Arabidopsis thaliana: one gene and its partners. The protein of the gene in region 2 interacts with the protein of the main gene of each other region in a pairwise test. Each region holds a gene or a part of one and is shown on either strand. Other genes may lie near its edges. The genes, in order: AGL83, AGL54 and GIS2.

What was found.
Region 1: the proteins of AGL54 (region 2) and AGL83 interact in a two-hybrid assay, tested with the Arabidopsis thaliana proteins (one large-scale study listed by BioGRID).
Region 3: the proteins of AGL54 (region 2) and GIS2 interact in a two-hybrid assay, tested with the Arabidopsis thaliana proteins (one large-scale study listed by BioGRID).

What each region holds. Positions count from the first base shown.
Region 1 is NC_003076.8:20,072,423-20,077,555, forward strand, and holds AGL83 (AGAMOUS-like 83), read left to right. Parts: upstream 1-2,905; coding exon 2,906-3,763; downstream 3,764-5,133.
Region 2 is NC_003076.8:9,530,059-9,535,209, forward strand, and holds AGL54 (AGAMOUS-like 54), read left to right. Parts: upstream 1-1,681; 5' UTR 1,682-1,786; coding exon 1,787-2,350; 3' UTR 2,351-2,639; downstream 2,640-5,151. Other genes in the region: CDC20.3 (cell division cycle 20.2, cofactor of APC complex-like protein), read right to left, coding at 1-1,023; GLR2.1 (glutamate receptor 2.1), read right to left, coding at 5,102-5,151.
Region 3 is NC_003076.8:2,040,768-2,045,936, forward strand, and holds GIS2 (C2H2 and C2HC zinc fingers superfamily protein), read left to right. Parts: upstream 1-2,651; 5' UTR 2,652-2,718; coding exon 2,719-3,294; 3' UTR 3,295-3,433; downstream 3,434-5,169. Other genes in the region: EXT10 (Proline-rich extensin-like family protein), read right to left, coding at 1-1,161; AT5G06645 (gibberellin-regulated-like protein), read left to right, coding at 66-206, 282-575. UniProt on the Arabidopsis thaliana protein: Probable transcription factor required for the initiation of inflorescence trichomes in response to gibberellin and cytokinin. Is not involved in the regulation of trichome branching. Is functionally equivalent to ZFP8.

The DNA of each region.
Region 1 (5,133 bases), about 11 Mb from region 2:
TTTATCCGGTCCACCAAAGTCATGTCCGTATGAATTCCTATCTGCCAAAAGTCCATTATCACTATTGGCGGGTTAATTAAGCTCGTGACCAGTGTCGACCCTGAATTTTATAAGACCACATACATGAGGAAAAAATGGGCCGCTACATCAAATTTTGAATAATTTTATTATTCTGTTGGAAAACAAAAGAGATCTCTTAAGCCATACTGAAGTTTCGAACTCGAAGATGATACATCTTCACGAAACTACTAGACAATCGTATATTTTGCAAAAAGACCAAATTTTTGTGATAAGCTCTCTCTGTATAGAGCTAGGATTTTCCGATCGCCGTTCAAACGAATCTATATATCCAATAGGTGTTGATGAATTTGGGAAATACATACTTCATGAACAGCATAAATGCATAATTCAATATTTGGTTCATACAACCTCTATTGTTTAATAATTTCTTTGTTGTTCAAAGTTTCCTCCCCAACTGCAAAATCGCAAAAGAGAACCTTAGTTATCTTGTAACATCCAAATACACAGAATCTTGAAACCAAAATTGATAAACAGACTTTAAGATGAATCCAATTTGACCTAATCCAGATCGAGATCGAGACTACAAAAGCACAACTGAAAATTTTGAAGAACGGTTTGAAATTAGAAGATGATCAAAGTAACCTTTAAGCTCGACCAATAAAAAATAATTACCAATCTTTTATCTCTCTTCCTGGACACGGATCCATACGTAGTTGTCACTAAATCTTCGCTGATCGGGATAAAGAAACAAACCTTCAACTAAGGGTTTGAGACCAAGAAGATCTTCTGAAGTTGCAAATGGATTAGCCGCATGGTTATTGTAAATCACATTAGTCTCATCGCGATTGAGTCAGTGAGTATTAGATGCTTGAAACGCGAGGTTTGTTTCGTGCACCGCCGAAGAATTTCTAATGTTCATACAACCCCAAACGCAGGCGCCACCACATAAATGTATTACTTATCCCACATTTGTATTTAAATCCCAAAAAATTATATTTGAAGTTACTGTCTTTTCTTTGTCTGTTCTAACCTTTCATCTTGCTAGTTATCATTAAAAAACTACTATAAACTTTTAACGCTAAAGATGTATCATGGTGATATTATTAGTTTAATTTTGGAATAAATTTTGGTGAAAGTTAGAATTAGATTGTTAATTTTCACCTCAACTTTATGTTATTTTGACCCCTAATTTTGTCTAGATTTGTTGATATTGCATCTGGACAACTTTTGCTCTATCGGCAAGATTTTGTTGTGGGATATGATTCGTGAAACCTCTTGAGTAAAATAGTGGAACTTATAGAGGAAATGTATAGATAAGAAAATTGAATTATAGAGTAATAATATTTTTTCTTAAATTTTGTGGAGGACTAAATAAATCACTCTAATATATTCAACCAGTTAAATTAGTTGTATTTATTAACATTAAATTTAACAAGTTGATACTGTAAAATTAGTTTATAATCTTGTATTGATCAAATTGTCTCACTTGTATCTTCCTATAATCTCACAGTAAAATTTTATAATTAGTCAAATTTTGATACTAATATTTATGTAAAAAATAATTATTATTTTTATATTTCATTTAATATTTTGATAAAATAATAAATATGCAATGTCCAGCAATACTAATTTATTGAGGTTTTATTGTGTGTCATGGAGTTATTTTTTTCATGGATACATTTCGAAGAAATATAACTATGATAAGCATTACTTCAATTTACACAACTAGTGAGTTTTAAACAGATTTAGGGAATCAGCCAATATGGTTCAAAAACCTTTTTTGTAAAGATTTACATACATAATAAAGTTCAATTTGCAGGAAAAAAGCATTACTTGAAGATAATAAAAATTTTAGCGCTCTAATGAATTCAAACGACCTTCTCTTATACAAAAAAATCATAAAACTCATTTAAAAAACATAGAGTCGAGCTTGTCTTGTAGCGCAAACTACGCTTGAGAACTATGTGGTACCTCTTTAGTTTTTTTTTTTAATCGTGATTTGCTAAATCTATTAACCAATCCAGTCATATTGTTAAAAACTATTGTGGAAGAAAGAGCAAAAGAGAGTAGGTGAAATCATTGGGCCAAAGAGGGATGCTCGATCGGGTTCTCCTTCAATTCCTTAGTTGATTCAAATTTTATTTTACAATCCATTAATAAATTAATTCACATATACCTTAACCCCAACCTTGACAACAAAAAAATCTTAAATTAAAATTTAAAAGATAAATCAACATTTCGTTGAGCTCATAGTATGTGAACTTTTCTAGTCATTATGGTTTGTCCTAAAACAGTATGTGAACTTTTCTAGTCTTTTCATATCGCTGAGAGCTAAGTCATGTTTCTTATTCTTAAAACAATAGTCTCTACTCTCTCATAGTAATGTTGGTCTTGTCATAGAGGTTTTGATGTATAGTTACATGATTATTTGGTTGGGCTTAATTTCATTTTATAACCGTTGCATAAATATCATTCTACTTTTTTTCTGTATTGGCGGTAATTCCTTCTTGAATATATTCCTCTAAAAAAAAATCAACTCGTCATTCTCGAATATTTTTAATTTATTTATATAAGAAAATAATAAAGGATAAAAAGAAGGATTCTGGTGGATAGTTGGAACTTAGCCCATACAATATTACGTTGCATGGTTTACTCTATTTAGTAGTTACGTGAACCGTACGTTAGAGATTGAAATCAAATTGGTTTGGTTCAGAATTGGGTTTTGTTGGAACGATATCGGTTTGCTGTGGTACATAGTCGAAACTAGTTTAGGTGGATGATGAGGTTTCGATATTTCCTTTTTTATTTGAGATTCGATATTACCTTATTCATATGAGATTCAATATTTCCTTATTTATATGAGATTCAATATTTTCTTATTTTTATGAGATTCGTTCCTTATTTATACGAGATTGAGAGATTATGGCTTTCACTTGTCAATTATCTTTCTCCACGCAAAAACAAAAACCGTCGCTGTGGTGAAATAGATAAAATCAGAATGGTGAAAAAAGGAGGTACGAAGAGGAAGATTGCGATTGAGACGATACAGAAGAGCGATTACCTTAGGGTTACTTGCACCAAACGTCGTGAAGGTCTCTTTAGCAAAGCTTCTCAGCTTTGTCTTCTCTCCGATGCACAGATCGCTATCTTAGCGACTCCTCCTACTTCTGAATCCAACATCTCCTTCTACTCTTTCGGTCACTCCTCCGTTGATGCCGTTGTCTCTTCTTTCCTCTCCGGGCAACGTTGTGTTCCTCTTCAGGAGGATACCAAAGAGATGAGAGAGGACGTTGCTATTTGCTTGTCTCGTACAAATCTAGGGTTAGGGTTTTGGTGGAACAACGAGAGCCTCAACAAATCGGAGAATCCTCAAGAGATTAGTGACGCTATCAACTCTATGTTAACGCTCTTGAGTAATCTCAAGGAATTGAGTGGGGAGGAAGCTTTAGTTAACGATCACAAGGACTTGAAGAAGAATGAGAGGAGCGATGTTGTTTTACAACACGGAACTCAATATGAAACCCTAAATCCTAACTCCAACACTACTACAATTTGTTGCGTCCCTGATGAATTACCTGCCAATTCCAACGAGATTGTTGGAATCTCACCAAATCCTTTGATTATGCTAGAAAAGAAGAAATCACAAATTGAAGAAAAGTTTGAGAAGGAATGGCAAGTTTCAGTTACTCGAATTGAAAATGAAGCCACGAGTTCTTATGCAAAACGAAGAAGAAGTATATGACCTGGATTAATTGAATTAGGAAAAAGAGCATTCTTATGCAATAAGGACATTTACAATTATGCTTTAGTTAAATTAGTCTTTCCTAGAAGAATTATGTTAAGCATTACTTTGTTATATGCTCTCGTGTATATGCTCTCTCACGAGAGCAAGAAGCAAAACTTCTATTTATTTCTTTTGAACACAATTTGGAGTTCTTACACCAACTGCAGCCGTAGTTTTTTTTAGTAGAAACTCATATAATTAAAAAAAAAAAAAAAAAAAAAAAAAGAAAAGAAAGAGATGAGAGAGAATCTCTGAAATTTCTAACTTTAGAATCGTTTCTATAATTCTTATACGTTAGTATTTTTGTTTTTTGGATATAAAAGTAAAATATTAATACTTTTTGGTTTTTAGACACTATATAAATCCTATACGTTGGAGGTGCTTTAGTTTCTTACCACAAATCCCAACGTGATGTCGTTTTACAACATAGAACTCAAGAGTCAAGATCAGTGGCGGACCACGTTGGTCTTGGGTGGGGCATGTGCCCTACACTGAATTCTATAAATCCTTTCTCAGTTAAAATTCAGTATAAGCAGCATGGCTCCAATAGAGTGCACCAAGTTTCATTTTCCATATAGTAGTCGATCGTTGGCTCCAACCTTACCAAACAAACAATGAACCAAGAATATATATGTTTTAAACATTGGCACAGAGCGAACTCATCTATCTTTTGACATGAATTCTTTGAGAGATTCAGATTTTTGAACTTGGAGTGACTACAAAGAGATTGCACCATATATACTTGTATAGTTGTATACACCACAACATTAGGGAAGTATCCATTAGTTAGCACCCATATATATACTTGTATAGTTGTATACACCACATCATTTTTGCCTTAATTAATTACTAACAATTCAGAAATACCAAAAATATCTAAGGATAACTCTCACATTCATCGAATTATTTTAAATGAAAAAGTTTCAAGCTTATGATTTTGTCAACAATATATTGCGGTTCGATCATCGATTATACTAACACAGACCATACTTAGTGTATATTCGATATGCTTATAATTAGTTGCAAACATGAAAATTAGATTTTATGTTTATCATCAACATAATACCAAATTTGAATTTGGACGGTAAACTACTACGACAATAATAACCCAACCAATAGACTATAAAGTTACAGATTAGTTAAATACATAAACTCGATTAACTAACACGGAGAATCACATATTTTCATGTCCTAAATTTTCTCTCAATCACACTTCACCACTACAATAATATTTCAGTCCTGTCTACCAAAAAAATAATAATATTTCAGTCCTCGCTCAACACTCATTATCTCTAGTAGCTATGTTTATAGTTTTGGACTGGAAGAAA
Region 2 (5,151 bases):
AGTTTCTACTGAATTCAAGCAAGCCCCAGTGTGTGTATTCCAGAACTTAATCTTCCCATCTCCTACACCACCACCAGTTGCAAGCAAAGTTGCTTGGAAAGGGCACCACGCAAGAGCTCTCACTGCAGCTGTATGTTCCTCAAACCTATGCAGCCATTGCCTAGTTGGTTTTGAGGAAGCGACAGAACGATGATCCCATATGTGTACTACATTGTAGTTACCACCACTTGCTAGTTTTTTTCCAGATTCTGACCACTTAAGACCACAAACCTCTTCAGTGTGACCCAAGTAAGTTCCAACAATGGAAGATCTGATCCTCACATCATTGTTGACGATCTTTCCATCCATTCCTCCAGTTGTTAGAATGTGATTGTTCCATGCCAATGATCCTACTCTTGACTCGTGACCACCTATCAATGTTCTCACTTGACGATTGGAAACAAAATCCCAAAGCTGGACTTCACTGTTGTCAAGACCAACTGCCAGATCAAGACCATCTTGCGTCCAGTTAATACTTGTGACAGGTCCCTTGTCTTCATCAATAGTCACAAGCTCAGACGTAGAGCCACTGGAAGCATCCCACAAGTAAACGGTGTCTCCCAAAGCAATGGCTAAGACGTTAGCACTGCCCCAGTCCAACAAGTTAAGGTAGAAGTCATCCATAAGACCAGGTGCATCCAAGACTCTCTCACTATTCTGAGGAATGTATCTACGAGGCTTTACGGATTTAGGGTTTTGGTGAGGAGAATCAGAGTGATTGCTAGAAAGCAGAGCTTTAGGTTTGTTTCTGAAAGCAAGAATACGGGTGCGATTCTGATTCATAACCACAGCCAATTGCGTCATGTAGGCTTTTCTTGATGCTGAAGTTATCTCATCGACATTACGTTTTCTTCCTTGGGTAAGAGCGTAGTTAGCAAAATCGAAATCCATGGCGGATCTGTTTGGGATGAATCTGTCCAAGTTTTGCTTGGAAAGTTTCCTCGGAAGAAAGTGGTCTGGAACTGTACACGTATCCGAATCCATTACAACGAAACAGAAGGAATTAAACGAAATTAGAGAAAGGGGACTAATCAAATAAAAGCTTGCAGAGAAGAGAAGTAAGCGTTAGTAAACAAGTTAGAGAAAGAGACAACGACTAATCAAATATATTCGAGCAGAGAGAGCGAAGAGAGCGAAGAGTTTTGTTTAGCCGCTGAGAGGGAAGCGAATGATGAAGAACATATATTGAAAATAGTGGAATCAATTTAGTTTTTTTTTTGTTGCTGTCCTTAAATTATATAGAAAATGTTTACTACAACGGTTAGATTGATATTTGTAAAATCGGATCTAATTTATATTTCCTCTATGATATCAAACATACAAAGGATTTTTATTAGACGTGATCAAAATAAAAAAAAGAAGAAGAAGGATTTTTACTACAATTATTGAAAAACCCCAACGGTTAGATTAATATCAGAACCGTGTTACACAATTATCAGATTTTATTTTCTCTCTGATAAGCTACTTCTTTCTTTTTTTTTTTTCTTTTTTTTTGTGTAAACAACAATTAAGGGTTTTTGCTTACCTTAATTAATTATTTAATTATTACCTTACAACGGTTAGAAATCGGATCTGATTTTAGATTACATCATTAAATGAAGAAACGATATGGAAATCGATCGAATTTAACAAATTCTATATAACCCTCTCAACTTTCACTGAATTATATCGTTCAGAGTTTATTTTCTCTTTGAGAAATAACTGAAAGCTTCTTTTTCTTTCTTTCTCTGTGTAAACAAACATCACAATGGATTCTTCAACGTCTACGAAGAAGAATACCAAATTGTTTGTAAGAAACCAAACTTGTTTCAAGAAATCGTCTCTGTCTTCTTCCAATGCAAAAAAGACCACGAATTTGTCGATGAGAGAACAGACCATGTTTAAGAAAGCCTTGGAGCTTTCGACTCTGTGCGACATCGAAGTCTGTGTCATATACTATGGTCGTGACGGAAAACTCATCAAGACATGGCCGGAAGATCAATCTAAGGTTCGAGACATGGCAGAGAGGTTTAGCAGATTACACGAGAGAGAACGATGCAAAAAAAGAACCAACCTTTCTCTGTTTCTACGTAAGCAGATCCTCCACGACAAGAAATTGTCGGAGAAAGTCTTAGAGATGGAGGATTCGTTAGAAAGTGGTCTACGGGTACTACAAGATAAGCTTCTGTTACTCCAACCCGAGAAAAACCAGACCGAGTTAGGTCAGAGCTGTGCGGTTTATTCCACAACGTATCCATTGTCTTCTCCTTCGCTGATTGAGGATCATCAACATCAACAACAATGGACAGAACCATTGTCAAACACAGAGTAAGACCTATCAACGTCATCATTGAGTCAACATGAGAGCAAATTTTCAGTCTTTCCCTATAACCATGATGATTGTAGCTTCTGTCAAATCCCTAACTCTGTTTCTAGCTTTGAGCAATCGACTTTACTTGGGGAACAAGGATCTGGTCTAGGAAGTAACTCTGATCTTCCTCCCATGGTGTTTACTCCTCAGATGCAGACACAAACCCCACTTGTCCCCTTTGATCAGTTTGCGCCATGGAATCAAGCACCATCGTTTGCAGATCCAATGATGTTCTCTTATAATTAGGTCTTGTTGTTCCAAGATCTGTTCTTTGACTTGGTCAACGTTCTGTTATTTTCTATTATATATTCTCAGTTTAGGTTATGAGTTTAATTTGTATGTTTTCTAAGTATGTATGAATGCTATTTTTTCAAGTTTTAAAAAAAGTCTTGGCTTCTTCTATATTTGTATGAGTCTACAATTTGAGTTTGAAAACCTGCTTTATTAAGATCTTTAATATACAATAGACATTGAAATGAATGCTAGATGTACATAATTTATGCAGATAAGCCAACTAATTGAGTAATTGAGCTTGTCTCGGTGTGATCTTCAGTTTAATTTTACGAATCGATTTAATGGAAGAGAAGATAATAGGATAAGCAAATTACTGCAGCTTCCGACAAAAGATGATGTCAAAAGTAGTGTTTTGTCCAAGAGGTGGAGAAACTCTGGCTTCGTTGAATTTAGATTCCAATGAATTTCCAGATTACAATGCCTTAGTGAGTTTTGCTGATAGGTCTTTAGATTCCTCTAAGGATTCATGCTTGTACAAGCTCAGGTAAAGTGTGTCCGGAGGATTGAGAATGAACAGTTTTGTGTCAGTGTCACGTGGTGGATAGATTCTGTAGTTAAGCGTTAACTTAAGCATCTTGATGCTACGTATCATGTGAAGCGTTAGAGTTTTAAAAGTGATTCCACTAAGTCTTTATATATGTTAGACATTGGTGTACTTAAAGACTCCATCAGGTTTTGATGCGTGATTTCGAGTCAGTTTCTTTACCTTATGTCTAAGTTCATGTGTTTAGAACAGAATGTATAAGCCAATGGTGAAGCTATACAATTGCTTATCTTGTCTTGTTCAGTTCTTGAAGATTTGAGCATTGCAAGAAGGCTAGATGATAATGTTAAGGTTTTAGGAGTGGACTTCTCAGTCATTAATCAGTCTCAGTGTTGAGTTTCATGAAATGAAAGCTGGTGCCCTTGTTTTTGATCATGAACAGAGGTTTAAATTGATGCCTCTTGTTTGTATGGAAGCTCTTCAATATTTTGTATGGAGCTGCGAGGAACTGAAATTGCAACCTTAAAGACTTTGTTCTAACTGAGATCTAAAACTAAAATCAGAGAAGACCAAAGAATCAGTGAAATCGGAGAGATTAGACGGAATACAAAGATCGATGAATTATACACATACCAACCAGAGCATAGAAAGAGAATCGGAGCAATATCAAAGGTAAAACTAGGCAAAAAAAGGAAGAAGTAAGGGGTAAAAATGAGAGGATTAATCTACTTATTCTATGTACAACAACAACACAAGAACTTAATTTAGTACGCAGAGTTTAATATAGTCAATTAGCCATTATCTAACCAAGTAGAAACTTGTAGGCATGTTTCCATGTTTGATGCAATAAGGTAAATCGAAATAGTTAATAAAGGATTCAAAAAGGAAAGAAAATAACATTACATACTCCTGACTCACAATAAGATCCTGTCATCACTGGAAAATCAACAAAATTTCAGCCTAGTCATACTAGTAGGTAACTTATAATCCTATAAGCCAAAGTAAGCTGCATAAACCAAACTAACCACAAGCACTGTCACCATTGAAAATCAACAGAATTTACAACTTTGAATTCCAAAACGCTACATAACCTAGAGGTAAGAGCTGCATAGTTAGTTACTGGTGGTGGATGAAAGAAAATTAACTTGAAGCTAAACTAAACTAAAGAAAATTCTAGCATTCACAACGTCATAAGCCAATGATAATTATATGATGCAAAACCAATCAACGAAACATATTAGAAAGAAGGAACCATATTAACAAGAACAAACCCACAAATATCCTTAAATATAATTCAGTCACAATTTAAACTTTAAAAACAAAATCATTTATTCATGGATACAAGACTTAATCTGATAAAAATTAAATCAATAATGGAGTATCGGAGGAGAACGATTCGATTTTTTGTGACCTCGGGCTGTTCGATCCACCGTGATCTCATAATCTCCACCGACACAGGGTCTCAACGGCGACTAACGGGCCATCGTTACCGACTGATTCCATCTGTTTCCCAGATCCGGTAAGCTTTTCTGGCGCTAGACAACGAACTTGTATCCACTGTAAATTTTGCTTTCAACTCACCCTTCTGGATTGTTGTTCTTCTTATTGGCATGCTTCGGTGAGTTGGTTAGGTGTAGATTCAACGTTTATTCTGAGCTGATTCTTTGACTTTGTAGTTTCGGGAATTCAAACTATCTGTGGGTTAATTTTAATCTGTAAAATGCTCTTTGCTTCTTTGACTGCATAATTTTTGCTATAGACAATCGGTGCTTTAGGTCATTAAAGGGGAGCAGATTCTTAAACCTTTTTTTGTTTTTATCACAATGAACAATGATCATCAGGATCCTCGGAGGTGTCTCTTTTGTTTGGAATTTTCAAAGATGTAATGAAACCTTTGTTTGAAATAAGAAAGGAAAACAATAGATGTGCTAACTTTAATTGCCATTGTTTACTGCGTTTGCTCCTTCTTGGCCATTCTTTGGCA
Region 3 (5,169 bases), 7.5 Mb from region 2:
CGGGGAGCTGTAGACGTATGGTGGTGGGGGAGACTTGTAGTCAACCTTAGGCGAAGGAGAGTAGTATGGTGGGGGTGGAGAGCTGTAAACATACGGTGGTGGTGGGGACTTGTAGTCAACCTTTGGAGATGGAGAGTAGTATGGTGGGGGTGGGGAGCTGTAGACGTATGGTGGTGGTGGGGACTTGTAGTAAACTTTTGGAGATGGTGAGTAGTACGGTGGGGGTGGAGAGCTGTAGACATATGGTGGTGGTGGGGACTTGTACTCTACCTTAGGAGAAGGAGAGTAGTATGGTGGAGGTGGAGAATTGTAGACGTACGGTGGTGGGGGAGACTTGTATTCAACCTTTGGCGAAGGAGAGAAGTATGGTGGGGGTGGGGAACTGTAGACGTACGGTGGTGGGGGAGATTTGTAGTCAACCTTTGGCGAAGGAGAGTAGTATGGTGGGGGTGGGGAGTTGTAGACGTACGGTGGTGGTGGGGACTTGTAGTCAACCTTTGGAGATGGAGAGTAGTACGGTGGGGGTGGAGAACTGTAGACATATGGTGGTGGTGGGGACTTGTACTCTATCTTAGGAGAAGGAGAGTAGTATGGTGGAGGTGGAGAATTGTAGACGTACGGTGGTGGTGGAGACTTGTATTCAACCTTTGGCGAAGGAGAATAGTATGGTGGGGGTGGGGAGCTGTAGACGTATGGTGGTGGAGGAGACTTATAGTCAACCTTCGGAGAAGGAGAATAGTATGGTGGAGGTGGGGAACTGTAGACGTAAGGTGGTGGTGGAGACTTATAATCAACCTTTGGTGAAGGAGAATAGTATGGTGGAGGTGGAGAGTTGTAGACGTTTGGTGGTGGTGGAGACTTATAGTTTACTTTTGGAGAAGGAGAATAGTATGATGGAGGTGGTGGAGAAATATAAACGTATGGTTTTGGATGTGGCGCGTACTTAGGGCTTTTGTGTTCATGGCTGGGAGAATTGTAATGTGGGGTTTGAGGGGATGAGTAAGGAGAGGAGTAAGGGTATGATGTCACTGTAGCCGCAATGGCACTTAGGACCACAACGTAAACCATGCAATGCCCTAACCCCATCGTTCTTGAGGATCTCATCATACCCATCTCTTTATTTTTATTTATTTGTTTTGGTTTTATGTTATACTTGAACATGAATACCATTTATATAGTCTTTTTTTGTGTGTGTAAATATTATACTATCTTCTCAAGTTGGCTTCGTGTGTGGCACTTCCAATTACATTAGAGGACGTGCAATGTTGTTTGTTTGAAATAAAGTAGCAATTCGATCGTGGAGAATATGAAATTTTATTAGATCCTCAATTTTTGAAATATTTGTTCGTTTTCTTTTGTTTGAACTTTGTCAACTCAAATAATTAGAAGAACAAAAGACTATTAATGATTATTTTAGCTATTGAGAAAATTTTTGTTTCATAAATTTTATGTGACAAGGGAAAAAATATTTTATTTCTCTTATGATGAATTAAAAGGCTGTGTATTAACTACTGCTTTTGTTTCTAAAGGATTATTGAAGAATTTTAGGGTATATTAGAGTTGCTTAAGCTGTTCTTCTTCTGTTAAAGCAACTGCATGCGAATCGATCGTGTGAGCAACGTTTGGTTCACGACCATGTTCTTTCCTCATGGGCGACCACTTTCATGATCCATTATAATAAAACAAATATGACGAAGACAAATTAACATAATATATCGTCACTGTTGCAGTTTGTTATGGAGAGTAACATTAATGAATCTGTTTTTAACAAGATCGTACTTCGAGACGAAAAGCAAAATCCAAACACAAAAAAAAGTAATCGCGCAGATGAGGAAACAAAGATGTGACACCACGCAGTTTACCATCTAACTACATTAATTTGAGGGATCCACCTGAAAACTTGTACTATATGTTAATTCATATGCATGGTTGTTTTATTTTACTTTTTGGTCTTGTGGTTAGTATTACCTACTCAAAAATGAGGATTTGATTAGATGAGGCAACATACAATTTGATTAACTACTCAAAAACATGGTTGTTCTAAAACTGACCATAAGGAAGAAAAAAATGTATATATATCACGACAGAGATTTGAAGTTTTGGACTAAAGCCTCACACATAGCCATCAGTGTTATATACTGTATATAAGCTGTCACTATTAAACATAGAAACAGGAACCTTAAAGATACAACTATATACTATCTTGACATCAAATACGTGTACTAAAACCTTTTCATAAAAGATGCATTGACATGACATATCAATGATGGTAGTTCGACGGGTAGAAATCATCAAGGCAAATCCGCATTTGAATTGAATGCTCACTAGATTATCTACAAGGAGACAAACCAATTAGCTCACTAGTTTAGTTCAATTCTTGTCTGGCTAATCCTATCTACATATACAAGACTATAATATAGCAAAATTAGAAAGAATATAGCTAGAAACGGGTAAATATATACTACTTACCAAAAACTAAATGTGCCTGAATAGGTCTATTATAGTTAATAGTTATTCAGTGTAAATTATCTATGTACATACCCCATCGGGAATTAAATGCAAGAAACATAGAGGAGACCGTACTTCGAAGTTGCAAATTTAACACTAAGTTGAAGAATCTAGAAATAGAAAGCCAAAATCTTCCTTTACTTCAACTCTACAATTTCAATCTTTTCTCTGTACTTAGCCATCCAGAGTCATAACCACCACTATATTAAAATGAAGACTTATGATTTCATGAACGTCAACTCTTTCTCTCCTAAGGAAAGACCCATTCGCCTCTTTGGCTTCGAGTTTGGAGCTTCTCATGAAGAATCTGAGTCCAAAGACAATTACAACGAGAACAATGAAAGCATCAAAGACGATAACAAAGAAAAAAGATTCAAGTGCCACTATTGTTTCCGGAACTTCCCTACTTCACAAGCCCTAGGCGGCCATCAAAACGCTCACAAGAGAGAACGTCAACAAACTAAACGCTTCAACCTCCATTCAAACGCAGCCGCTTTCTTCCACCGCCAACAAAACCACATTGCTGCTTCTAGGCTCTACGAGGATCGCTATAGCCTTGAAGCTGTTCAAATCAACGACGCGAGATTAGGGTTATGTCGTATGTATAACTCATCTGCGAGTTTTAATCGTGACCGTTCATCTTATTATAATAGATATATTCCTTGGTTCATCGGTGATCACCAGACTAGACCAACGTATGTCGGTGGTGGTAGCAGCAGCCATGGTCTGTTTTACGAGTCCAAGAAGAATGTACCGGACCACGTGAGTTTGGATCTACGCCTCTAGTTCCATTCTTTTAGTATCTCTCTCTAGCTAGTTCTTAAAAAAAAAAAAAGAGAGACTAGTTTTTTTTCCTTCTTTCAAATACTTTTTATTTTATTTTAGTCTACTTGATTAATTATGAATTTATGATAGTGTATCCCCGTAGATATCATGTTATATTAACAGTTAAACAATTTTATGGAGATGAACTTTAACTTCAGATAGTTTCTTTCTGAGATTTAAAGTCTTAAATATTATCGACGCATTCCAATCTCAGAATAGGTTTATATCTCACATTATAAGTATAGAATTGAGAATGGACCTTAACCCATGAAACTTAACAAAAACAAAATTAACATATGCTAAAATCTTCGGATTGTATTTTAAAATCGCTACTTGAAACTTCAACTTGTATCTAAAAAGGTAAAATTATTAATTGAATAATATAGTGTTTAGAAGCGAAACATTCGTCAATCACATCTAACGACGGTTAAAGTATGTGATTAATTGGGAATATTTAAATGATCGATTTGATAATCAGCAAGACAGCAACCATAAAAGTGGACACTTTAATTTTCGTAAAAAACAATTTGACCTTTTATTTTCTAAAAAAAATATTCAAATATCAAAAAATACGAATTTATTTGTAACATTTTTTTCGATTTTTGTTTTTTAATATTGTTATTTTTTTCATTTGACACATCGTTATTTTCATATTACTTACCATAAACCCATTTATCACCAATAGAAATTATCCTCGAACCTTCTTTTCAACCACACCAGTTTATTTATTTAACATTCTCTTTAGAAACTTTAAAGCATAGCTTAAAGTAGTACGAAACCGAAAACTTAACTAACACATTTGTTAGCTCAACTCTCTCTTTTTTAAAAAAAATCGTCAATTATTTTGCATTTCTTTTTTGACAACATATATTTGGTTTCGAAAGACCGTTTGATTGGTTATGAAATGTCCACGCCAATAACATTAACTCTCAAATCTAAATCGAATCAGTAAAGGGTCCCAAGGGATACATCACCACTAAGTTTAAACTTGAAAATGTTTACATTTTTCTTTCAAGTTTTTTTGCCTCCACCTAAAGACAAACCAAATAAATGTTTAAATTTATTCGAATTGTGATGTAAATAACGCCTGAATGCAGCATTTAATAACTCAGTTTCTGACAAGAAATACACATCCGCCTAAATAATTCCGTTAGCCTTAATGTTTATACAGATGGATTAACGTATGGACTCAAGATAGACACATATCGTTGAGAACAATGTACTAGATGACCTTTGATGAACGAATGAAAGGTAAAGTATCCATAGAGAGCAACATTGAGATATATGAAGAAGAGGAAAATCGTTTTTAGAAGTTAATAAGTATAGTTTATTTAGTTGGAATTGGATAAAAGTAATGTTCAAAGAGTACATAGTGCCTTGAACGTCTATGTGATTCTAAGTGCACACTACGAGATAGGCTTATAAAATATATAAAAATACATATTATTTAGATGATGTTTATTTATATTAATAATAATAAATAATAAGATACACAAATACGATTTTGTTATTTTAATCAAAATTACAAATACACTATATAGAATATAATAAAAGCTAGCTAGAAAATAACATATTTTCAATTCTAGTTGCGTATGAACTGAGAAGTGAACAAGAATTAATCTATGGAACCTAAACATCAGATCCTAGTTGATATGCAAAACAATAATTGATGTGTGATACGAGAAGAGACCGTGGTGGGTACATGTATAGTTCTATAACAAATTTAATTTCAATCTAACTTTGTGTTAGTACAAAGTACAAAGGAAACGTTTAATCATAAATAGACAAAATCTCATGTCCCACACACATTCAAAACCACCCCTACAAATTAAATGG